Linked DNA regions of Elephas maximus indicus. The protein of the gene in region 1 binds, or shares a complex with, the protein of each later gene. Links are inferred from orthologs where the notes say so. Each region holds a gene or a part of one and is shown in the gene's direction. Other genes may lie near its edges. The genes, in order: MED13L, MED24 and MED23.

The links.
Region 2: MED13L (region 1) and MED24 share a complex: the UniProt entries of both Homo sapiens proteins name them as parts of the mediator complex. The link is inferred for Elephas maximus indicus from reciprocal best matches to the Homo sapiens genes MED13L and MED24.
Region 3: MED13L (region 1) and MED23 share a complex: the UniProt entries of both Homo sapiens proteins name them as parts of the mediator complex. The link is inferred for Elephas maximus indicus from reciprocal best matches to the Homo sapiens genes MED13L and MED23.

What each region holds. Positions count from the first base shown.
Region 1 is NC_064840.1:14,030,997-14,038,766, reverse strand, and holds the start of MED13L (mediator of RNA polymerase II transcription subunit 13-like), read left to right. Parts: upstream 1-4,696; 5' UTR 4,697-4,788; coding exon 4,789-4,860; intron 4,861-7,770. UniProt on the Homo sapiens protein: Component of the Mediator complex, a coactivator involved in the regulated transcription of nearly all RNA polymerase II-dependent genes.
Region 2 is NC_064837.1:47,307,333-47,315,159, reverse strand, and holds the start of MED24 (mediator of RNA polymerase II transcription subunit 24), read left to right. Parts: upstream 1-4,791; 5' UTR 4,792-5,365; coding exon 5,366-5,618; intron 5,619-5,747; coding exon of another isoform or gene 5,748-5,800; exon of another isoform or gene 5,801-6,100; intron 6,101-7,827. Other genes in the region: THRA (thyroid hormone receptor alpha), read right to left, coding at 263-410, 2,478-2,578, 3,208-3,275, 5,748-5,800. UniProt on the Homo sapiens protein: Component of the Mediator complex, a coactivator involved in the regulated transcription of nearly all RNA polymerase II-dependent genes.
Region 3 is NC_064819.1:200,455,532-200,462,852, reverse strand, and holds the start of MED23 (mediator of RNA polymerase II transcription subunit 23), read left to right. Parts: upstream 1-4,303; 5' UTR 4,304-4,482; coding exon 4,483-4,530; intron 4,531-4,846; coding exon 4,847-4,878; intron 4,879-5,038; coding exon 5,039-5,126; intron 5,127-7,321. UniProt on the Homo sapiens protein: Required for transcriptional activation subsequent to the assembly of the pre-initiation complex. Component of the Mediator complex, a coactivator involved in the regulated transcription of nearly all RNA polymerase II-dependent genes.

The sequences.
Region 1 (7,770 bases):
GACATGTTACAGCTAGCATTTTATTCTGTTTTAATTCGAAAGGAAATAAATCCAATAAAGTTTAGATTAAAAGAAAAAAAAAACCCTCAAGTGTTATGATTGGGTGATGCTTTCCCTTGTACAAGGATGGACAAATGACTGCAATTGTTGTAATTTATGGATCACTGCCCGGTGGGGGGCAGGCACTGAGCTCAGGACCTTCCCTGAGTCATCACTCTGGGAGGCCACTGCAGAGGAAGAAATGGGGTCTCAGAAGAAGAAATGACCTGCTCAAGGCCATGCAACTAGTATACCTGAGCGCAGGGATTGGAACCCAGGTATGTCTTAGAAACTGACATTCTTTTTTTCTTTTAAATTGTGCTTGAGGTGAAAGTTTACAGCTCAAGTCTCAAGTTAGTTTTTCATACAAAAATGTATACACATGTTGTTATGTGACCCTAATTGCAATCCCTATATTGTGACAGCACGCTCCCCCTTTCCACTCCACGTTTCCCACGTCCATTTAAGCAGCTCCTGTCCCTTTCTGCCTTCTTATCATGCCTCCAGACAGGAGCTGCCTATTTAGTCTCATGTACTTACTTGAACTAAGAAGCACACTCTTCACAAGTGTTATTTTACATTTTATAGTCCAGTCTAATCTTTGAAGAGTTGGAGAAGCCAACATTCTTAACTCCTACAAAATGCTCCCAACCTGCGGCTGCATAGGTCTCCAGCAGTCTTCCTAACACAGTAGATAGTTCCTCCTCTGATAGTATTTTTGCTTCCATTTTCTCTCTGCCCTTAGGTTTGGTAACCATGAAAAGGAACTAACCTGTCATTCTCAGAATAAGACCTGAGACCTGTGCAAAGTGGAACTTCTGTTTCCTGCCTGGGCCACAGGCACTCTCATAAATGGGGAAACCGAGTCCTGCTTAAGAGGTGCCTCTGACATAGGGGACTTGTCCCAGGAGCCCGCGCGGCTGGTTCACTGCCTCCACACTTCGTACTAGTCAGTTGCTGGTTTTTTGTTTTATTTCAATCATATCTCCTGAGGCCCTCCACCAACTCCCATTGAGTTAAGAGCCCTGTGGATCTTTATCAGTAATCTCAACTGTACAGAGAATTAAAGAATTTCATGGCTGGATTATGACCATAAGGACCACCCAGGTCGCCCTTTTTTACACATGAGGCAAGTGAGGCCCAGAGAGGTCAGGTGGCTTGTCCCAGGTCACACAGCTTTTCAGTGGTACACCTGGGGACTAGAACCTGGTTCCCCCAGGTTCTCTTTCTGTACTCATGTTGCCAGGCTAATCACACTCAGCGTCAACTCAGCCCTCCTGGCTTTTTCTTTTCCACGTCGGGTCCTTGGCTTTGACGGCCAAGGAAATCTCCTCGGACCAGTTTTATTTTCATTATCTGGTTTGTTTGGGGTTTTATTTACTTTTATGGTGCCATTACTTGGTTATTCTGTTTTCGATTTTATTTATTTACTGTCGTTGTTTATAACTTGCCGCTCGAGTAGGTATTTATGCATTTGGTTAAAAAACAAAACAAAACTATATAGTGCAAAGTAATTCTTCTCACCCTGGCTCCCATTCCTCTAATCTCCCTACCTAGGGACAATTGATATTACTAGTGTTTGGAGTAATCTTCTAGAGAGATCTCTGTTGATAATATATTTTTGAGATTATTCTTTCTTTTATTGTGGTAAAAGTTTATGTAACAAAACAGGTGACATTTTAACAATCTACCCCCGTAGCCCAATGACACTACCTATGTTTATCATGTTGCTCAAGGAGCTCTAGTAGCACAAGTTAAGTGCTCGGCTGCTAACTGGAAGGTTGGTGGTTCGAACCCATCCAATGGCTCCACAGAAGAAACACCTAGAGATCTGCTCCTGTAAAGATTACAGCCTAGAAAACTCTATGGGGCAGTTCTACCCTGTCACATAGAGTTGCTATGAGCCGAAAATTGACTTGATGACACCTAACAACAACATCATGTTGTTCAACTATGACCCTTAACAGAAGCCCAGTGTCCCTCCCCTAAGGAGATTATTCTTCATAAGTACATGTATCGATCGCTAACACATTATATTTAGTGACTGCAAAGGATTAAATTATATTAACGGAAAAGAAAAAAAAAAAAAAAAAAAGAAACCAAACCCACTGCCGCCAAGTCTATTCCCGAAACAGTGACTCTATAGGACAGAGCAGAACTGCCCCATAGGGTTTCCAAGGAGTAGCTGGTGGATTTGAACTGCCGACCTTTTGGTTAGCAGCTGTAACTCTTAACCACTGCGCCACCAGGGCTCCAAATTATATAAAGTACTCCTCAAATGATGAACATGTAAGTGTTTTCCAGTTTTTGCTGTACAGACAATCCTATAGTTCATGTCCTTGCACGACGCGTCTTTGTGTATCTGTACAAGTACGCTCCTAGAGGCAGAATTGCCAGGTCAGAGGGGTCTGTTCATTTTTCTATTTTGATATTCACCAAATTGATGCTGAAAGCTCCATAGCCAATTTGTATTCCCGGCGACAACGTGTGAGACCCCTGCCTCCCTCTAGGTTTGCCTAAACTTCTAAAATATCGTCATTACTTATTATGGTTTTAATTCTGTTTTTCTTGTGATGAATGAAGCAGAGCATCTTTTTAAATATTTCAAAAGCATATGTATTTCCCATTCTGCAAACTCCATGTCCTCTGCTAATTTTTCTATTAGATTTTGTTCTGGAAAGTTTTTTTTTTTTCTTTTTTTTTGGTCCTAAACTTGCTGAAGAACGTGTTTGGTTACTAGGCGTGTGGGATGAAGCCCACCTGAGATGTAAATACATGAAATTTGGGCATCTGAATCTGATGGACCGGTACACTGCCTTTCTACTCAGGCTAAGCAACACTATGCGTGTAGATAAAAGTCCTTTTGATTTTTTTCAAAACACTTTAATAAATGGTATCTTAATAATCAAACCAAACCTATTGTTCTCAAGTTGATTCTGACTCAGTAATCCTATAGGACAGAGCTGAACTGCCCCATAGGGTTTCCAAGGCTGTAATATTTCCCAGGGCAGATTGCCAGGTCTCCCCCACCCCCAGCAGAGTCACTGGTGGGTTCGAACCCCCTACCTTTCAGAGCAGCCAAGCACTTAACCATTGCACTGTCAGAGCTCCTTAGAAATTCACAACATTGGCCTTAGATGGGGGGGGGGGGGGTTTGTCAATAATCAGGATCCCTTTTTGACAGATGAAGGAGCCCTGGTGGCACAGTGGTTAAGTGCTCCGCTGCTAACTGAAAAGTTGGGTGAGTTTGAACCCATCGGCTGCTGCTCAAGAGAAAGATGTGGCAGTCTGCTTCGGTAAAGATTTACAACCTTGGAAACCCTATGGGGCAGTTCTACTCTGTCCTATAGGGTCGCTATGAGTCGGAATCGACTCGACGGCAGTGGGTTTGGCTTTTTTCTTTTTTTTTTTTTTTTTTGAGACTATTCCCTGCGAGGCGTGCGGAGAAGCATAGTGCAAGAGCCTGACTTCAGTGTCCGTGGGTGCATGTGTTCGAATCTTGACACCTCTTCTTCGCAGCAGCGCTGGCTCGCGCAAGTGACTTAATCTCTTTGTGCTTCAGTTTGCTCGTCTGTGAAACGCAGACGAGAGCGCAGGACCCACCTCCCGAGGAGCGAGGCTGCGATGCGACGCTCCCCGGGGCACTTGATGGACCTGCTGTCTGACCCGCAGCGAGCCTCGGCCACGCAGCCAGCCCGGGGGCAGCAGCGAGGGGCTCGCGCCCTCTACCGCGGCCGCCGCGAGCGTTCCCGAGGCCCGCGGTCGCGCCCCTCAGCCGCCCGGGCGCTCCGCAAGGGTCCGGGCCCCGCGAGGGGGCGGGGCGCCCACAGAGCACTGGGCCCGGTAGCCCACCGCCCTCCGGAGGGTCGGGCCGACCGCACTTCTTTCTCTCCCTCCGCGTCTCTGCCCCTCTTCCCGGCCCGAGAAGCCGGCCGCGCTCGGCTCAGCAGCGCCTCCCGCGAGCCGCCACCGCCGCCGCCGCCGCCGCTCCCGGCCCCTCCCCCGCCCGCCCGCGCCCCCCCGCGCGGCCGGCGCCCGTCACGTGACACGGCGCCAGCCAATGGCGGGCCGAGCCGCGGTCGGCGGCCGCCATTGCTGTCAGAGCGAGCGAGCCCGGGGAGGGAGGAGAAGCGAGGCTTACTGGGGAGGAGGGGGGGGGTGGGGGAGGAAGAGGAAGGAGGGGACGTCGCTCGGCTGCCGGGGTCGCCCGCTGGCTTCGTCCGCACCCCCCCCTTCGCGAGTTCGCGCTCCGCGGCGGCGGCGGCTCCGAGGCGGCGGCGGCGGCGGCGGCGGCTCCGGGGCTCGCCTCCCCTCACGCGCCGGCGGGGGCTGAGGGGGAGTCGGTGGCTGGAGATAAACAAGGCGGCGGCGGCGGCCGAGGAGCAGGGAAGGCGGAGGCGGCGGCCGGCCCGCAGCGCCGGCCCGGGAGCCAGCGGCGGCCCTGAGAGGCGGGGAGGGCGCCGGGCCGCGCGGACAGCGCCCCCCGCTGCCGCCTCAGCCGCCGCCGCCGCCGCCGCCCGAGCAGGAAGGAGCCGCGCGGCCGCCGCGGACCCCCCCGCCGGCCCGGGCCCGCCGCCCCCGGCGCGGCGTCGCCGCGGCGCCTCCCGCCCTCCTCCTCCTCCTCCTCCGGCGGCGGCAGCGGCCCGGCCGCCCCGCGCTTCCCGGTGAGGCGCCGCCGTCCGGCCCGGCCTCGCCTCGGACGCCTCGCTCCGACATGCCCCGCTCTGGCGGCCGGGCTCGCGGAGGATCATGACTGCGGCAGCGAACTGGGTGGCGAACGGGGCGAGCCTGGAGGATTGTCACTCCAACCTCTTCTCGCTGGTGAGTAGCCGGGCTGCGGGGAGGGGGGCTGGGCCGGGGGCGCCGACCCCGCCGCCGACCCCGCCGCCGATCAACTTTCTCCTCCCGCCGCCGCCGCCGCCGCCGCTGCCGCCGCCGCCGCCGCCGCCGGGACTTCGCCCCTCCCCGCGGGTCGCCTCTGGCCGCTGCTCTCCCTTGGATCGTCTCTCCTCCGCCTTGGACCCCATCCAGTGTTTATTTGGCTCTTTAAAAATCATTTGTGAGCGCGGCGCCCGGCGTGGAATTGGCATGTGGAAGTCTCAAAGCTGCGGATTCTGGGTCGCACTCGGAGCGCCCACCCTCTGTTGCAATCACACCCCCTCCCGTCTGCCCCCCTTTCCCCCCAAATGTGGAAGGAAGGCTTTGCCTGCTGCTGCCCGCGCCTGCCGTGGGCTGCTAGCAGCCTCGTCCCCCCGGTCGGATCGGCTGTCCGCCCGCCTCCCTTTTGAATTTTTTTTTTTTTTTAAATGCTGTAATGACACCTGCAATTTCGCCCGAAAACAGTTGATCGAATGCGATTGTGTCAGTAAAGGACTCTTGCACCCGGAGCTGCCGCGATTGTAAACACCGACAGCCGCCCGCCCGCCTCTCGGGGCTCAAACGCCGGAGAGCCAGAAAGCCATTGCACCGAGCCGACGGAAGGTGGAGAAAGCTTTTTCTTTTTTCTCTCCCCCTGTGTCTTTTAAAAACTGTTTTCTCTATCCTAACAACGAATCCACACACACACAAAAAAGCAACAAGCTGGGCGGTTTGATAACATCGCTTTTATCTGCCTTCGCCTGGCTCCCTCTCTCTCTCTGATAATTGACAACTTTTCCCTCGGATTTGAATCGCCTGCCTTAATCTTGAAGCAGTTAGGGTGTCAATTGTTCTCCTGGAAGCCCGGCACCCGACGGCGGCGGCTAGATTCATCGAAATTAAAAATGTATAGGACTCCAGCAACTCTTTCCCTGGCGGTGGCAGTGACATTTGGTGGTAAATGCCATCTTTGCTTTTTATTGGGTCGTATTACCTTCTCTGAAAACATTCACGTTGTTAAACCTGGCGTTTAGGCTAATAATTGCAGTGCGTGGTCTTTAAATATGTGCTTTGTGCATGAGTTACTGTATGGAGAGCTATGTGCCCGGGAGAGTAGGAATTTGTTTAAATATTGAGCAAAGGTTTGTAAACAGATGTAAGGCAATTATGTTTGAAGCGTAGAATATAATTGGAAAATTGGCTGAACGGTCTATTTAATTTAGTCTAAAAACAAAAACCAACTTATTTTAACTTGGGTACACTGTTTTGGGGGGATTGCTTTTTGGAGAGTATGCATTTTGGAAATTATTTTCTGTAACCTCTACTGTAGACGGAAGCATCATTTCCTTTTAATCCTTGTTTACACTGGATAAATAATTTAGTGTTCAAATTGTAATTAGTTACATTTAATTATGGGTGGCATAGATCCCCCCCTTAGGGACTAGTGGAGAAATGCAAATTCTTGCCAACTTTTCAAATAAAGTGTTATTAAATATGTTACAGTATTTATGCAGATAAAAAAGTCAACACATGAGATTGTTAGCTACAAAGACTGAGAGACATAGTATCCATGCTTCTACTATAGTACAACCAGGTTACATTTTTTTTTTTCAAACATTCTTATTCAGATATATAATCTTTAAATTCATTTTTAAGTAGTAATTCTTCCTTTTGGTACTGTGATGATTTTCTTGTGATCTTTTAACATATGGGAGTAAAGCTCATTTTGTCTTTTCCTTTTTCCCCTATCACTTAGTATCAGTCAGGTTCAGGGACTCATAGATCAGCAAACATATTGATTAAGGGGTATTTAAAATGTTTTTTGTTTGGCAGCTGGTGACCGCATTGACACTTTTACAGGTAATTAAAATAACCAAATAGACCAATATTGGTGAGGAGAGAGCCCCCAAATTACCATATATCATACTGACTGGTAATGGCTTGTATACGTATATGTGGCTAATTTATATACGGTAGATTAGACAACTGCAATGTATTACCTGTATAGGCAGTGTCTAGGATATATCGTTGCTTTTATCTTCTTTTTTTAAAAGCTAAGTGAGAGTGATAATGTCTTAGAGATAAGATGCTTGAGATTCTTCTGGACAAACAATTTTGTAGGCAAGGATGCTGTACTTTGATTATGACCAATTCAAGTTTTGTGCTTTGAGTATATCTTCCCTCAGCCTCTTTAAATCAGGAAGAGATTTTTGAATATATCTTTTTTTTTTTTTTTAATTTTAAGAATGACTTTTAGGTAGCAACTTTCAAATTCAGAACGGCAGAAATGCATAGCTTGATTTTTTTTTTAAGGACTATAAAGTGTTTAATTGCTACATTCTTTGGTACAGGGAGGGTGGGTAAGGTGCTTTTTTTTTTTTTTTAAATGATGAATCAGTTAAAAAGCTGCTGACTATTATAGCTCTTTCTGGTTGCAAATTGAGAATTTTAATTGAAAATCATATACAGTAGCACCCTAGACTATTAAAAATATGTTGCTTAAGGTGCATTATATGGAATAGTTGAGACTGCCAAGAGATGTCATCATCACCTGTTCAAAATAAAGCATGTCTTGTAAGAAGAATTCTTAATATGTTAAATAATAGCATATATTTTTCCTTGTGTCCTGTAGTTTTTTTTTAAGTGGAGAGAAGTATTGTTTATAGAGAATTTACCTAGATACTCGTATTAGTGTGGATTGAAATATAAACTGGAGGTTAAAGTTCTGTACCACAGTAATGACCTTGCCACTTTCTCTTACCTTAAAGTGTTCATTATGGTTTAACAAAAGTCGGTTGTGCAATTGGGTGCCTTAAGATTTCTGCTTGTGCTTTACTTATGTTGCTTTCAAATTTTTACTTTTCTCCTTTGAGG
Region 2 (7,827 bases), on another chromosome or scaffold:
CAACAACTGCTTCTCTAAGGTGCTAAGTGGTGAAAGGCAGGTGGACACTGGGGCCCATGCTCAGGTCTCATAGAGAAATCCTCCTGCCTCTTCCCCAGGGTGAGGGCAGCAGGGACCAAGACTCTGGACACTCTACCATCAGCTGGCCTGGACTAGAACTCTGCCTTATGGGCCCTAAGGGTACCCTGGAAGGGAGCTGCCATCCCTCACCCACCCCAACCCCCAGGCACCTGCCCCAACTCCCTCCCCTCAAGCCCCTTACAGTCCATGGCCATGCCCACAGCGATGCACTTCTTGAAGCGGCACAGCTGGCACTGATTGCGGGTGATCTTGTCAATGACACAGCAGCTGTCATACTTGCAGGAGTAGGTGGGATGGAGGTTCTTCTGGATTGTGCGGCGAAAGAAGCCCTGGAGCAGGGGAAGACGAGCATGTTGTGATCCTAACCTCCCCTTCCTGAATCAACCATACAGTTCACAGGGGATGGCAGGGGGCGAGATTAGTGAGGGGACCTGGGGTCCTCTTGACACAGCTAGCCCAGGATCACTGGGCTCTGCCAGGGCAAGGGACCTTAGAAACGAGTGCCCTCGCCCCAAGCACCTGGGCAGTGGTGATGGCAGGGCCAAGAATGATGACTGCAGTAGGGAGACTCGGATCTGGGGATAGTGTGTGGTGCCAGGAGGTCTGAAGGAATAGGAGCTTAGGAAGTCCAATTAATACTTTACTTTCCAACTTGCTAAATGACCCTAAAAACAACAGTGACCACAAAATCATTTTCCTGTATGTTGTCAGTTTCCCATGTAGGCGGAATTCGTGAAATAGAGAGACCAAAAAAATTAAGAAAAGACATTTCGGTACATGCTCTAGTAGCTTTAAAAGAAAAATTTCACCAATTATATATACCAGGTTTAGCCCTTTCTTCAAAGGAAAACCCTCAAGAACCAAGATGGTAGTAGTAATGCAAATAGCCAATATTTACTGAATGCTTACTATGTGTCAAGCACTGTAAGCATTTTTATGTGACATGCCATTTAACTATGACGTAGAACTCTTATTGTTCCATTTATAGGCTGGAGACTTAGTGGTGCAGTGCTTAAGCTTGGCTGCTAACTGAAAGGTCAGTGGTTCAAACCCACCAGCCACTCCATGGGAGAAAGATATGGCAGTCTGCTTCCATAAAGATTACAGCTTTGGAAACCCTATGTGGTAGAGTTCTACTCTTTCCTATAGGGCACTATGAGTTAGAATCTATTTGAATTGACTGAACAGCGATGGGCTTGGTTTTTGGTTTCATAGGCTAAGAAACTGAAGCTTAGAGAGATAAAGCAACTTGCCCAATGTCACATGACTAACGGGCAGAAGAGCGAGAGCTGGGCCTCAGATATGGAACAGCAAGGTCTGAGCTCTCAGATTCTGAGATGCACTAAAATCACTTAAGGCAATTACCAAAAATGCAGACTTCTAGGCCCCACTCCAGACCTGCTAAATCAGACTCTCTAGGAGTAGGGCCAAGGCATCTGTCTTTTCAAGATGTTCCCTGGGGATTTAATATCCTTGAGCATGAGGACCCTTGCTCTACACTACACTGCTTGTATTGGTTCCAGGGACACAGCCATGGGACAGTAAATCCTGGTGGTCTTGGTGTAGTTGACACTGAATAATTCTGTTTCCTGGAAGGGCCCACCTTTTCAGGAGGTGGTGATCTGGGAAAAGCCATGCAGGCTGAAATTACCAACAGAAAATCTAATTATGCCTCCCCAAGTCTATGACCTTGTCCGCTCTACACAGGGAGAACCTGCCATCCTCTTCTCCTCTGTGCCCCCACCATGACCCCCAGCAGAGGCTCTCACCTCTTTGGGTATATCAGAAGCAACTGGGGAGCCCATTACAAGGCAGATTCCTGGGCACCACGACAAGAGGCTCTGATTACAGTTGGGATGGGGCCTGGGAATCTGCATTTTATCTAGCATTGTAGGCGGTCCATGAGCCTCATTTTGAAAAACACTGATATTTGTTTCCAGTCTGTCTCTCTCTGACTTGAGGACAGGACATACTCTCCATCCTCACATTTAATACAAGGCCAGGAGCACTGAACGGTTGGGCAATAGTTGGCATTTATTGGGGTGTTTCTTACACGCCTGGCACTGTTTTAAACACTTTATGTGAACTATCCTATTTCATTCTTAACACCTCTATGAGGTAGGCAGAATGATTATTCCAATTTTATAGGTGAAGAAACTGAGGCTCAGAGAGGTTAAGCAAATTACCTGTGAGTGGCAGAGCAGGGATTATGTATGAATGAACAAACAAAAGAATGAATGAATGAATGAGTGCAAAAAGAGAAATGATGGTATTACAGGTGGGCTTGAGGTTACATGTTTATAGAGCTTTTCTATCATGCCAGGTACTGAGGGCCTCAAAGGGAGTGAGATAGGGGCTCAGGCGGTAGGGGAGGGGAGGAGCCGGCTGGTCCATACCTTGCAGCCCTCACAAGTGATGCAGCGGTAGTGATAACCGGTTGCCTTGTCCCCACACACGACACACTGCTCGTCTTTGTCCAGGTAACTAGGGATATACCCTGGGAGGGAGGGAGGGAGGGAGGCAAGCAGGCATGGCTTGGGGTCCCAGCAGATAGGTTCCTGTACTTTCCCCATCCCCCAACTTTTCCTTTCTGGCCATGCCCTCACCCAGCCTCCCTGAAGGGTTGTCTGCAAGGAGAATCCTGGGAACACATCACAGGTCATCATATCTAATCCCTGGCTGACATGAGTTGGAATCAACTTGATGGCAACTGATTTTTTTGTTTTGTTTTTTTAATGAATATGAAGAATCCCAGTCCTTCTGGCTGCCCACTCTGGGCTTTTGCTGCCTTGCTTTCCAAGGGGTAGGGGATGGGGGGGTGGGAGGCAGAAGCAAATATCAGCACTTCTCTCAGGAGAATGCAGTCCCATGGCTCTTCTCTCCAGGCCCTGATTCTGCTGAGGGACTCAGCATGGGGGTTATGGGAGAAGGGAAGAGGCCCTTCCTGACCTAATTCATCCTCAAAGCCTGGTTCATGCGCCACATCAGCCCTCCTACCCCTGGACAAGTCTATCCCAAGCCCTCTGAGAGGATCCCCCCACAGAAGCTGCTGGTGCGTGTCAGACCCCAGGAGAGGCCAGCGCTGGCTGGGGAGCAGGGAGGAAGGGCACACTCAACCAAGCTCACCTGACATGCTGGTTTTCAGGGAACATTGGCCGTTCTTTCTTTTTCGCTTTCCATCTGGTGACCTGGCACTGGATGGGGACAAAGTGGGTGGAATCACAGAGTAGTCCTTGGGAAACCCCTTTCTCATCTGAGAGGCTTATACAACCCCCCAGGCCCAACTCCCTCCATCTGTATCCTCATTCTACCCCCACCCTCAGGTCAGCTGACAAAGCTAAGAAAGGTCCTGCTATCTGGACACTGCAGGGGACAGAGATAAGGGGCTTGGCTGGGGCACAAGCATGTTCTAGGGCCCCAACACACACACACACACACACACACACACACTGCAGAACATTAAGCACTCTGCTGTATAATCTAAAGGACATCCACATACTTCAACCTTCAGTACATGACACAGACGCTGGAGGTGTCCCCAGGACATGCTTAAAGCTACGCAAGCTTTAGAACATGCACACACACATACATGCAACATAACACAAGCACATACAAATAACTATGCAGCCTTCAGTATAAATCCAAGTATGATAAATAGGCACCAGGATCTATCTACATCTATGCAATTTCTAGGGCATTCTCAAATGAGTTATATGACTTCTAGGGTATAGTCATGTGATACACAACCTTCTGGACAGGCACCTAACAATACCACCCCCTCTCCTCCCACTGTGAACATGTTGTTTGATTTTCCAGTCATGCATAGGTACTAAATAATCCACAGTGATTGAAAACATACAGTGCCTAGCTCCCAGCACCTAGAACCAAGAATGAAAGACCAGGAAAGTCCTTCCAGAATCACGCTGTCCATGGCTTCCATTTAACAGAGCAGCAAACCAAAGTCCCACTTGGGCCTGGTGACACCGCATGCTAGAGACAGAGCCAGGACAAGGACCCTGAGCCCCTGCGCTCCAAGTATTAGCAACCCTCCTCCACTGCACATATATGTCACCCTGGTGCTCCATATACATGTTACATAACCCCCCCCAACAGGTTACATAAGCCCTTCTACATGCATGCACGGATTGTATAACCTCCCACACCCACCCTGGCATGTAGCATAGTCAGGACTCCTCCTCCTGGAGCCCAAAACAGCTCCCAACACACTGACACAGTGACCTTGGCCAGGGTCACAATCACAGACAGCCCTGTGCTCCCCACCCCCTGGGGATTACCCCTGTCTGGTTCTGACAAGGCTGGAGGGTCAGGATCTCCTTCTGGTCTACTGGGTGGGGGTGTGTGCGGGAGGAACTCCGGGCCACCTAGGCTCCAGTAGAGCTGGCCTCTTCAGAGATTACCTACCTGGAAGCCTTTGGGTGCAGTCCCAGGGACAGCCACAAGGTGGCGCAGAGACATGGGGGAGGGGACAAAGACGAGAGGGAGGCGGGGGAGGGAGGGGCTGCAACCCTAGGGGGACCGGGAAAGGGCATTCCCGCCTTTCTCCAACCCTTTGGGACAGACTCTCTCAGACCTACAGAAGCCTGGGCAGGGAGGTACAGGAACTACAAGTCGGAGCCGCACTAGGACAGGCCAGATCTTCCTTCTCAGAGTCTCGCCTAGGGTGAGGTTTTGGGGTAGGGGTTCCCTGGGGGGCCCACCAAACTGCAAGCCCCACCCACTTCCTCCACCCCTCCAGGGACCCAGTCTTGGGCCCCAGGGCTTTGCCTGGCCAGGCCTCAGGCCTCCTGGCTCAGGATCTGGTCTCCTAGGCAACAGCCACACTGCTCCCCAGAGCACCCCTCCTCCATCCTCTCTCCGGCCATAGGCACAAGCTGTACCCAGCTTCTGGGGCACTATGCCAACTGGGACAGAACTCTGTGCCACTTGGTGCTGATGGCAGAGACCCTCTGGGCTCCTCAAGGACAATGCAGAGCACAGGTAACCCATCCCTACTTGTGTGTGCTGGGCGGATGCCTCCCCATGTGTGGGGTAAACCTTCACGTGTGGGGTAGTGTGGGGTAAACCTTCACGGTTGGCCTGCGCTTTCCTTCCTGGGAGGAGCTTCATGGTAGCACCCGCCCTTCCCCATAAACAAGGAATAGTTTGTGGGGCTCCCAATAGGTTCCAATACAAACGCGAGCTGTGACCAGTAGTAACTGGTGCATGTGCCCTGAAATGTCATGCTACATGCACCAGGGCCTGTGGACAACACACTTGTGGTCAGATGGTGAATGGGCTGGTAGGGGGAGGAGGAAGGTGGCAAGGCCTTTTGGATACCTCATGCTCAGGTGAGGGCAGCAGTAGCAGAGGAGACACTGGGGGGCATTTGAGACTGTCCAGCATGGTCAAGGGTAGAGCCATATGCTTGCTGCCTGAATACTCTGCTCCGTATCATAGGCGTATGATATGGGCATCTCTGAACCCAGGTGCCTACTTCCCTGCCACATCTAAACGTGACCTCATCTCCTGGGGAAAAGGTAGGTAGGCAGCAGGCTTGCTGGCCTCAAGCCCGTTCCCAAGAGGTGCTTAAAAGGCCTGAGCTCAGTTCTTGTCAGGGAGGCCTTATGCCCAGCCAAGTGACCATGCCCACTGCCTGGGCCTATTACCTGTTCTCCTCTGGGTCTGACCCACACTCCAGCTTGCTTGGCTTCTGTTCCATTCACTTCAATTCCATCCAGGATGCACTCCAGCACGCCAAGAGACTGGGGTGGGCACACAGGCCCCCCCGGCACACCCACAGGCCACCCACCCCCCACCACCCAAGCCCTAGGGCACAGCACCCATGGTGCCTGCCTCAGCACTTGGCCTTCACACCATGCCCTGCGCCCCAAGGGGGGCGGGCAGTGAGAGGGGCCAGGGAGTGGCAGGTGGGAGGGCTAGGGGGTGAGCTGGATTTGTAGGGGTGTCCTGGGCTGGGGTTTGGGGAGTAGGCTCAGTGTCTTGTCCTGTCCTGAAGTCCCTGCAGAGAAAAGAAAGAGAAAGGGTAAGAAGGTTCCATGGTGGGGGGGATTCCTCTGGTGGTAGCAATTTGGGTTCTTGAGGTCCACAACAGGATGATGAAGCACGTGGTGGGCAGGCACAGGTAACCTAGTTATGCTTCCCCAGGGAAGGAACAGGGTAATCTCTTAGATTAGCCAACAAGATTGTAGACTTATATCCTAAACTCCAGAGATGGAGAGGGATGGAGGAAAGGAATGAGGTAATTTGTGTACCGTGTACCACATCTCAATCCTCACATTCTATCAAGTGCCAGGCCCTTAATAAGTATCTATAAACGTCAGCTACTATTACCACCCCTCTAGCTGTTTCCCTAAAACTCATCAGTATTATAGGGGCAAAAGGGGATCAGGGATGAGCAGTTTTCAGCCTAGGCCCTGGGAGAACCAGTAAAGGAAGGGTGGGGTATGAGGACAACGTTCAGGGACCATAGATGCCCATCTTAGTGTCTCAAGGAGAGAGATACTAACAGTGGTGGGGAGCTGACCACACCTGCTGCTGATCAAGTTATGACTCCTCAACCCTGGCCCCCCAGGGACCCCACGGCTTCCCATACAAGGTCCTAGGTCACACTTCCCAGTCTGAGGACCAGACTTCCCAGTCAGTTTAGCTGAGCTGCCACCTACCAGGATGGTGAGGGGAAGGGGAAAGGGAACACGCATTGACTGAGCAGATAATACGTGCCCTCTGAAGTGGGCATCAGAACTTTCCTGATGAGGAAACTGAGTATCAGAAAACTTGATCATTTACTTAAGTTCACATAGCTATAAGCAGGTGGCTCAAGGATTAAACTTAGTGGCCTGGCTCTAATGCTAGCTTTGTTCCACTACCTGGAGTCCAGGGCAGTGCTAGTCTGGGCCCACTATTCCATCTACACAGCACCTCTCAACCCAGGCTGCAGATCTGGGGCTTACTGTGTGTGTACACACAGGCAGGTGTGGGTGTAGGACGGGGACAAAGGGTGCAACTCCCCACACACAACCTCTATCATGTGGCCACTGCACCAGAGATCTCACCCCTGGGCCCCCCCCCAACCCGACCCCCAGGAACTGATAAGGAGCCAGGGTGGGAGGAGAAGGGAGATAAGTCAGGATACTAGGCAGGGCAGGACAACAGGACAGGGCCTCTGCATCCAGGCAAGCCCCCGTGTGGGGAGGAGTGCAGAAGGAAGGCCCATTCTGCCTCTGATACCCCCCCAGGCCAGAACTGGGCACTGGGGGCTGGATAGGAGACTGGGGGAGGGGGGCAAGCGGGGAGCCTTAGCCCAGGGAGCCGTCAAGAAAGTAGGTCAAGTTTTTCTTGGCTTGTGGAGAAATTCCTGTTATAAATTTATAATGGCGTAGCCAGCCCTGAGGGGTGGAGGTGGGTGGGGATGCCCAGGGGCTGGGCACTGGGGCCTGCTGTTCTCAGCCAGCACAGTGAGGGGCAGGGGGCTTGGTAGTCATGGGGGCTGGGCTGGACAAGAGAAGGCTATTTTCTCTCTGTCGCCTAGTCCCACTTCTATCCCTGCCTATCCAGGCCTCATTCGCTGCACAGTCTGTCTCCCTCTGAATGTGTCTCTCTCTCTGGGTCTGGGTGTCTCCCTGTCTCCCCCCAGGCTGTGCCTCGGTGCTTGGCACACCCTGGCTGCGGTGCTGCCCCCGCCTGTCTCCTGCCCGCCTGGCATGCTGCCACCACTTGTTTACAGAA
Region 3 (7,321 bases), on another chromosome or scaffold:
AATGACTGCCCTGACAGGGAACACAACAGAGAGTCCCTGATGGAGCAGGAGGAAAGTAGGGTGCAGAACTCAAATTCTAGTAAAAACACCAGACTTAATGGCCTGACTGAGTCTGGAGGGACCCCAGAAGACACGGCCCCCAGACTGTTAGCCCCAAACTGAAACCATTCCTGAAACCAACTCTTCAGACAAAGATTAGACCTGACTATTATAAGACATAAAATGATGCTCGTGAAGAGAGTGCTTCTTAGCTCAAGTATTACATGAGACTAAATGGGCAGCTACTGTCCAGAGGGGAGATGAGAAGGCAGAAGGGGATGGGAGCTGGTTGAATGGACACAGGAAATCCGAGGTTGAAGGGAGGAGTGTGCTGTCACATTATACGGAGAGCAACTAGGGTCATATAACAATGCGTGTATAAATTTTTGCTTGAGAAACTAACCTGAACTGTAAACTTTCACTTAAAGGACAATAAAATACATCCATCTATATCTATCTATATCTATATCTATATCTATATCTATATCTATATCTATATCTATATCTATATCTATATCTATATCTATATCTATATCTATATCTATATCTATATCTATATCTATATCTATATCTATATCTATATCTATATCTATATCTATATCTATATCTATATCTATATCTATATCTATATCTATATCTATATCTATATCTATATCTATATCTATGCCATTATTCCCTGTCTTTACGCATAAGAATATGACCCAACTGGAGCTGGATTCATGAGGGTCCACAATCAATTGGGCCCTGAGGTATAAAGACAACACTGAGGACAATCTTGGAAAACATCTTGTAGAGAACTTTTCAAATAACCTCATAAAACAGAGCACAAAAACACTTTCCACTCTTATCTTTTTCTATTAACATTTAGTGAATAGTAAGATTTGTTAGACCAGTGAGGATCCTCCTGACTGCCCTTACTGAAACCTGTGCCAAAGATTACTAAGAAAGACAATTTGAAATGTAGAATCACAGTGACTTAGCAGTTTTTAGCCCAGTCCTACACCATTCTCACAATGGTTCTTATGCTTGAGCCCATTGTTGGCAGCCACTGTCAATCCATCTCATCGAGGATCTTCCTCTTCTTTGCTTACCCTCTACTTTACTAAGCATGCTGTCCTTCAGGGACTGATCCCTCCTGATAACATGTCCAAAGTATGTGCCATGGATTGAATTGTGTCCCCCAAAAATATGTGTATCAATTTGGCTAGGCCATGATTCCCAGTATTGTGTGATTGTCCATCATTTTGTCATCTGATGTGACTTTCCTATGTGTTGCAGATCCTAATCTCTGCCTGTGGTTAATGAGGCAAGATTAGATTATGTTAAGGAGGATTAGGGTAGGATATAACACCCTTGCTCAGGTCACATCCCTGATGCAATGTAAGTTGAGATTCCCTGGGATGTGGACTGCACCACCTTTTATCTTACAAGAAATAAAAGGAGAGGGAAGTGAGCAGAGAGGGGAACCTTGTATCACCAAGAACGCAGCATCGGAGGCAGAGTGCATTCTTTGGACCAGTGGTTCCTGTGCAAAGAAGCTCCTGGACCAGGAGAAGACTGATGACAAGGACCTTCCTCCAGAGCTGACAGAGACAGAAAGCCTTCCTCTGGAGGTAGCACCCTGAATTTGGTCTACTAGCCTCATAGACTGTGAGAGAATAAATTTCTCTTTGTTAAAGCCATCCACTTGTGGTATTTCTGTTATAGCAGCATTATATAACTAAGACAGTATGTGAGACATAATCTCGCCATCCTGGCTTTTAAGGAGCATTCTGGCTGTACTTCTTCTAAGACAGATTTGTTCATTCTTTTGGCAGCCCATGATATATTCAATTTTCTTTGCCAACACCATAATTCAGAGGTGTCAATTCTTCTTTGGTCTTCCTTATGTATTGTCCAACTTTTGCATGCATATGAGGCAATTAAAAACACCATGGCTTGGGTCAGGTGGACTTTAGTCTTCAAGGTGACATCTTTGCTTTTTAACGCTTTAAAGAGGTCTTTTGCCCAGGTTTGCCCAATGCAATGTATCGTGTGATTTCTTGACTGATGCTTCCATAGGTGTTGATTGTGGATCCAAGTAAAATGAAATCCTTGGCAACTTGAATATGTTCTCCATTTATCATGATGTTGCTTATTAGTCCTTGTCTTAGTTATCTAGTACTGTTATAAGAGATATACCACAAGTGGATGGCTTTTACAAAAAGAAATTTATTTCTTCACAGTAAAGTAGGCTAAAAGTCCAAATTCAGGGCTTCAGCTCCAGGCGACGGCTTTGTCTCTCCGTTGGCCTTCTCATCAATCTTGCCCCAGACAAGGACCTTCTCCGAGCAGGGACCCCAGGTCCAAAGGATGTGCTCTGCTCCCGGCACTGCTTTCTTGGTGATGTGAGGTCCCCCGCCCCTGCTCGCTTCCCTTTCCTTTTTGTCTCTTGAGAAATAAAAGGTGGTGCAGGCCACACCCCAGGGAAACTCCCTTTACATTGGATCAGGGATGTGACTTGGGTAAGGGTGTTGCAATCCCACCCTAACCCTCTTTAACATAAAATTACAATCACAAAATGGAAGACAACCACACAATACTGGGAATCATGGCCTAACCAAGTTGGCACATATTTTGGGGGGACACAATTTAATCCATGACAGTCCTATTGTCAGAATTTCAGTTTTCTTTATGTTGAGGTGTAATCCATACTAAACGCTGTGGTCTTTGATCTTCATCAGTAAGGGCTTTAAGTCCTCTTTACTTTCAGCAAACACGGTTGTGTCATCTGTGTAATGCAGATTGTTAATGAGTCTTCCTCCAATTCTGATGCCCCTTTCTTCTTCATATAGTCCAGGTTCTCAGATTATTTGCTCAGTTTACAGGTCGACTAAGTATGGAGAAAAGATATAACTCTGACACTCACCTTTCCTGACTTTTAAACCATTCGGTATCCCCTTGTTTTGTTCAAACTACTGCCTCTGGGTGTATGTACAGGTTCTACATGAGCACAATTAAGTGCTCTGGAGCTCCCATTCTTTGCAATGTTCTCCATAATTTGTTACAATCCATACAGTCGAATGCCTTTGCATAGTCAATAAAACACAAGTAAATATCTTTCTGATATTCTCTACTTTCAGTCATGATCTGCCTGACGTCAGCAATGATATCCTTAGTTCCATGTCCTCTTCTGAATCTGTCTTGAATTCCCTGGCAGTTTCCTGTGGATGTGCTGCTTCAGCCACTTTTGAATGCTCTTCAGCAAAATTTTACTTGTATGATAAATGGAAACCCTGGTGGTGTAGTAGTTGAGTTTGGCTGCTAACCAAAAGGTTGGCATTTCGAATCCACCAGGTGCTCCTTGGAAAGTCTCTGGGGCAGCTCTAATCTGTACTATAGGGTTGCTATGACTCAGAATCAACTCGACAGCAATGGGTTTTTTACGGGTGAAATTAACGCTGTTGTTTGATAATTTCTGCATTCTGTTGGATCATCTTTCTTTGAAATCGGCATAAATATGGATCTCTCCCAGTAAGTTGGCCAGGTAGCGGTCTTCCAAATTTCTTGGCTTAGACAAGTGAGCACTTCCAGTTCTCCATCCATTTGTTGAAACATCTCAGTTGGTATTCTGTCCATTCCTGGAGGCTTGTTTTTCACCAATGCCTTCAGTGCAACTTGGATCTCTTCCTTCATACCATAGGTTCCTGATTATATGCTACCTCCCGATATCGTTTAAAGTCAACCAATTCTTTCTGGTATAGTGTTATTAGTACTTAAAAAATGGTAAATATTTTTATTATTAGATGACTATACCTAAAAAGGTAGATTTTATTCTTTGATGGTTCGAATTAAAATTCAGTAGTGATGCATTCATATGTCCTTTTTGTCTGGCACTCTGCTAGGCCACCTCGGTCACCATACTTAAAAAGTCATGGTACCTGTGAAGAGAAGTGTTGTTTCACCTCAGGGCTCTAGGCTGCACCAGAAGGCCAGGTGCTCACAGAAAGCTGGTTGGTCCAGGCCGTGGCAGAAGTTGTTTTCTGCAGGCTGCAGCCCCTAGGCTCTATACCTTCTCCCCAGTCTAAGAGTTTTAGGAAGCAACTCCTATTCCAGCCAGAGGGTGGCGGCCTGCAGCCGACAACGCTTCTGGGTGTCTTGGGCTTGAGTATCCGCTTGAGGGCGCGCTCGCGAGCAGCCCTTCTGCACAAGCGGAACTATCTGGCGGGCCTCCTGGTTTGGGGGGGGTTCTGTAATCGGCGCGTACCCACCTCTCCGGGCTTCCGTGCAGCCTCCAGTTGTGTGCGGGGCCCTGGAGAAGACGTTTCCGGCTCGGTGCTTGGAGAGGAAAGTGACGCGGGTGAGAGCCGCGGTTTTTTCCGGGCGTCTCCGCCCCTTTGGCCCTCCGTTCCCGAGGCTCGGGCCAGACCCCGGCCGCGCTGGGACCCACAGGAAGGTGGGGCGATGGTGCAGATGGAGACACAACTGCAGAGCATTTTTGAGGAGGTGGTGGTGAGTGGAACTAGTCGGGGTCCCGGGCGATGCAGCGGGAGAGGCGGGGGCAGCGGATCAATTAGGTCGGCCTGGGCAGCCGCCTCCTCCGTCCTCGTTGCGACGCGGTGTGAGTGTGCAGGCGTTGGTGGTTCTCAGGCTGGTGTCACGCTCAGGGTCGCCTTTGAAATCCCCAGCTCTCTGGTGACAGGCGGCGGGTGCCGGTAGTTTCTGCACGTTGCCCATTGAGATGCTTGTACTGTGTCGTTAGGGGTACCACCCCCCTCCGTTTTTTATTTGTTTACGTGTGTCTTTTTTTTTTTTAATTGTTTTACAGAAAACGGAAATTATAGAAGAGGCGTTCCCTGGGTGAGTATAATGCATGGCAGATTTTTATGTTTTTACGTGAGGGTGTCTTTGTAAGACAGGTTTTTCTTGGGTTCTGTAAAATCGACTGTTCTAGTTATGATGGATTGACTTTTTAAAGCTAGTGGCAAATAATATAATTTTGGGTTTTTTGTTTGTTTAGCATGTTTATGGATACCCCTGAAGATGAAAAAACAAAACTTATAAGCTGTTTGGGGGCCTTCAGACAGTTTTGGGCTGGTCTTTCTCAGGTGAGCACTGCATTTTTAATATATTCAGCTGATGATTTGGGGGTTCCCTCCCCCGTTTTATTTTTTACATTTACTTTGATGGTATTGTTAAGTTTTTTTCTGGAAAAGGAGAGATCAAATCGTTATATTTTTTCTCTTATTTGTCTCTTTTGGTTTCCATTTGTTTTAATTTGTGTACTTCCCAGTGGAAATCTGTATTGAGAAGTCATGATGATAGCACAGTGTGGGATGTCTTTATGATGCTTTTTAAAAAGTTCCTATGTTAGATTATGTAAGACGTTTTCATCCTATTCTGATTTATTTGGTGACTTGCAAACAGCTGTGTTAGGCATTGTAAAGAATATAACTTTCACTCATTTATGGATAAGAGGAACTGGCACAGTATTGAAACAAAGACTATCATGAAGATACAATAATCCTATAGTAAAGATACAAAGATACCACAATATAGATACAAAGAAATTATAATAGGGATACATGCATAGTATAATAAAAAATGGGCAGAAGAGCAGTAAAACTTAGTTAACAATCACCAGAAAATGTATCCATGAAAAAGACAAAATGTTTGATACTTAAAGAGGTCATGTTGGAGTAGTGCATTACAGGTAGGGAGATGAGAACTGTTTGCAGTTGAGCTGCTGCTGGTAAAACATGCCACTCAGACATAGATCACGCAGTGGCCGTACATTAACTTTTTGTTTGTTTTAATTGTCTTCTTATAGATAATACAAGCATGTGGTTCAAAATACAAAGGAGTAGATCCAAAGAATAGTTTCTTCGCATCTCTTTTAGATTGATCCCCTGTTCTTTTTCCTGTCTGCAGTCATTGTCCCCAGTTTAATAATTTATGAATATAGAATCATTTTATAGGGTGGTCATATACTGTGCACACTGCTAATTACCAGCTTGGCTTCCCCCTTTAATGATAAATTAATGTTTATTATTAATAGATATTTAATAATATTCATTGTTATTAACAAATAACTTTTAATAATGACAGTAAATTCTCTTTTTGCCAAGGCTTAATATTCCATTGTATGTCTGCACCTTTATTTAACTGGTCTCCTACAGACTGACATTTAGGTTGCTTCTTTCTTTTTCCACTTTAAACAATGCTAGAATGAATGATAGTATGCACAGGACATAGGATAAATTTCTGGAAGTGGTATTGCTGGCTTAAAGGTTATGTCTGTTTATAATTTTTATGGAAATTGCCAAATACCAGTTTCTACCTGGTTAACAATGTCTGAGGAGCCCTGATGATGCAGTGGTTAAGTGCTCGGCTGCTAACTAGAAGGCCTGGCAGTTCGAACTTACCAGCCACTCTGAGGTAGAAAGATGTGGCACTCTGCTTCTGTGAAGATTACAGCCTTGGAAACCCTATGGGGCAGTTCTACTCTATCCTATAGGGTCAGTATGAGTTGGAGTGGACTTGACAGCAACAAGTTTAGCAATGCACGAGAGCCCTCAGCCCAGCAATTCAGTAGAGACAAATTCTGAGAACCACTAGTAGAGCAGTAATTCTTAAAATGTATCATATGTAAGAATCACTGGGAATCTTGTTAAGAACGTAAGTTCTTATTCAGTATATCTGGAGTGGAAATAACAAATTCACAGAAGGGGTTTAAACCAGAATGAACCATTTTGAAGCCCTGAAGTGCAGTTAATAATAACTGCCTTCAGCAGTTATTAAAACTATTTGGACAATGTACAGCACAACTTGATCAAGACAAGGTCACAGAAGCTTCACAGACAAATGCAAACTCCTTGAGGGACTGAACTGTGGGGCCACGAGCTGGGGACCACAGTCTTGGGGGATATCTGGCTCAACCGGCGTTATATAGTTTATAAAGAAAATGTTCTACATCCTGCTTTGGTGAGTAGCATCTAGGATTGTGAAAACTTGTGAGCAGCCGTCTAAGATACTCCGCTGGTTCCACCCCATCTGGAGCAGGGGAGAATGAAGAAAACCAAAGATACAAGGTAAAGATTAGTCTAAAGGACTGATATATCCAACTACCACAGCCTCCACCAGACTAAGTCCAGCACAACTAGATGGTGCCAGGCTACCACCTCTGATCTCTCTGACAGGGATCACAATAGAGGGTTCTAGGCAGTGCGGGAAAAAAATGTAGAACAAAAATCAAATTCACAAAAAAAAGACCAGACTTACGGGTCTGACAGAGGCTGGAGGA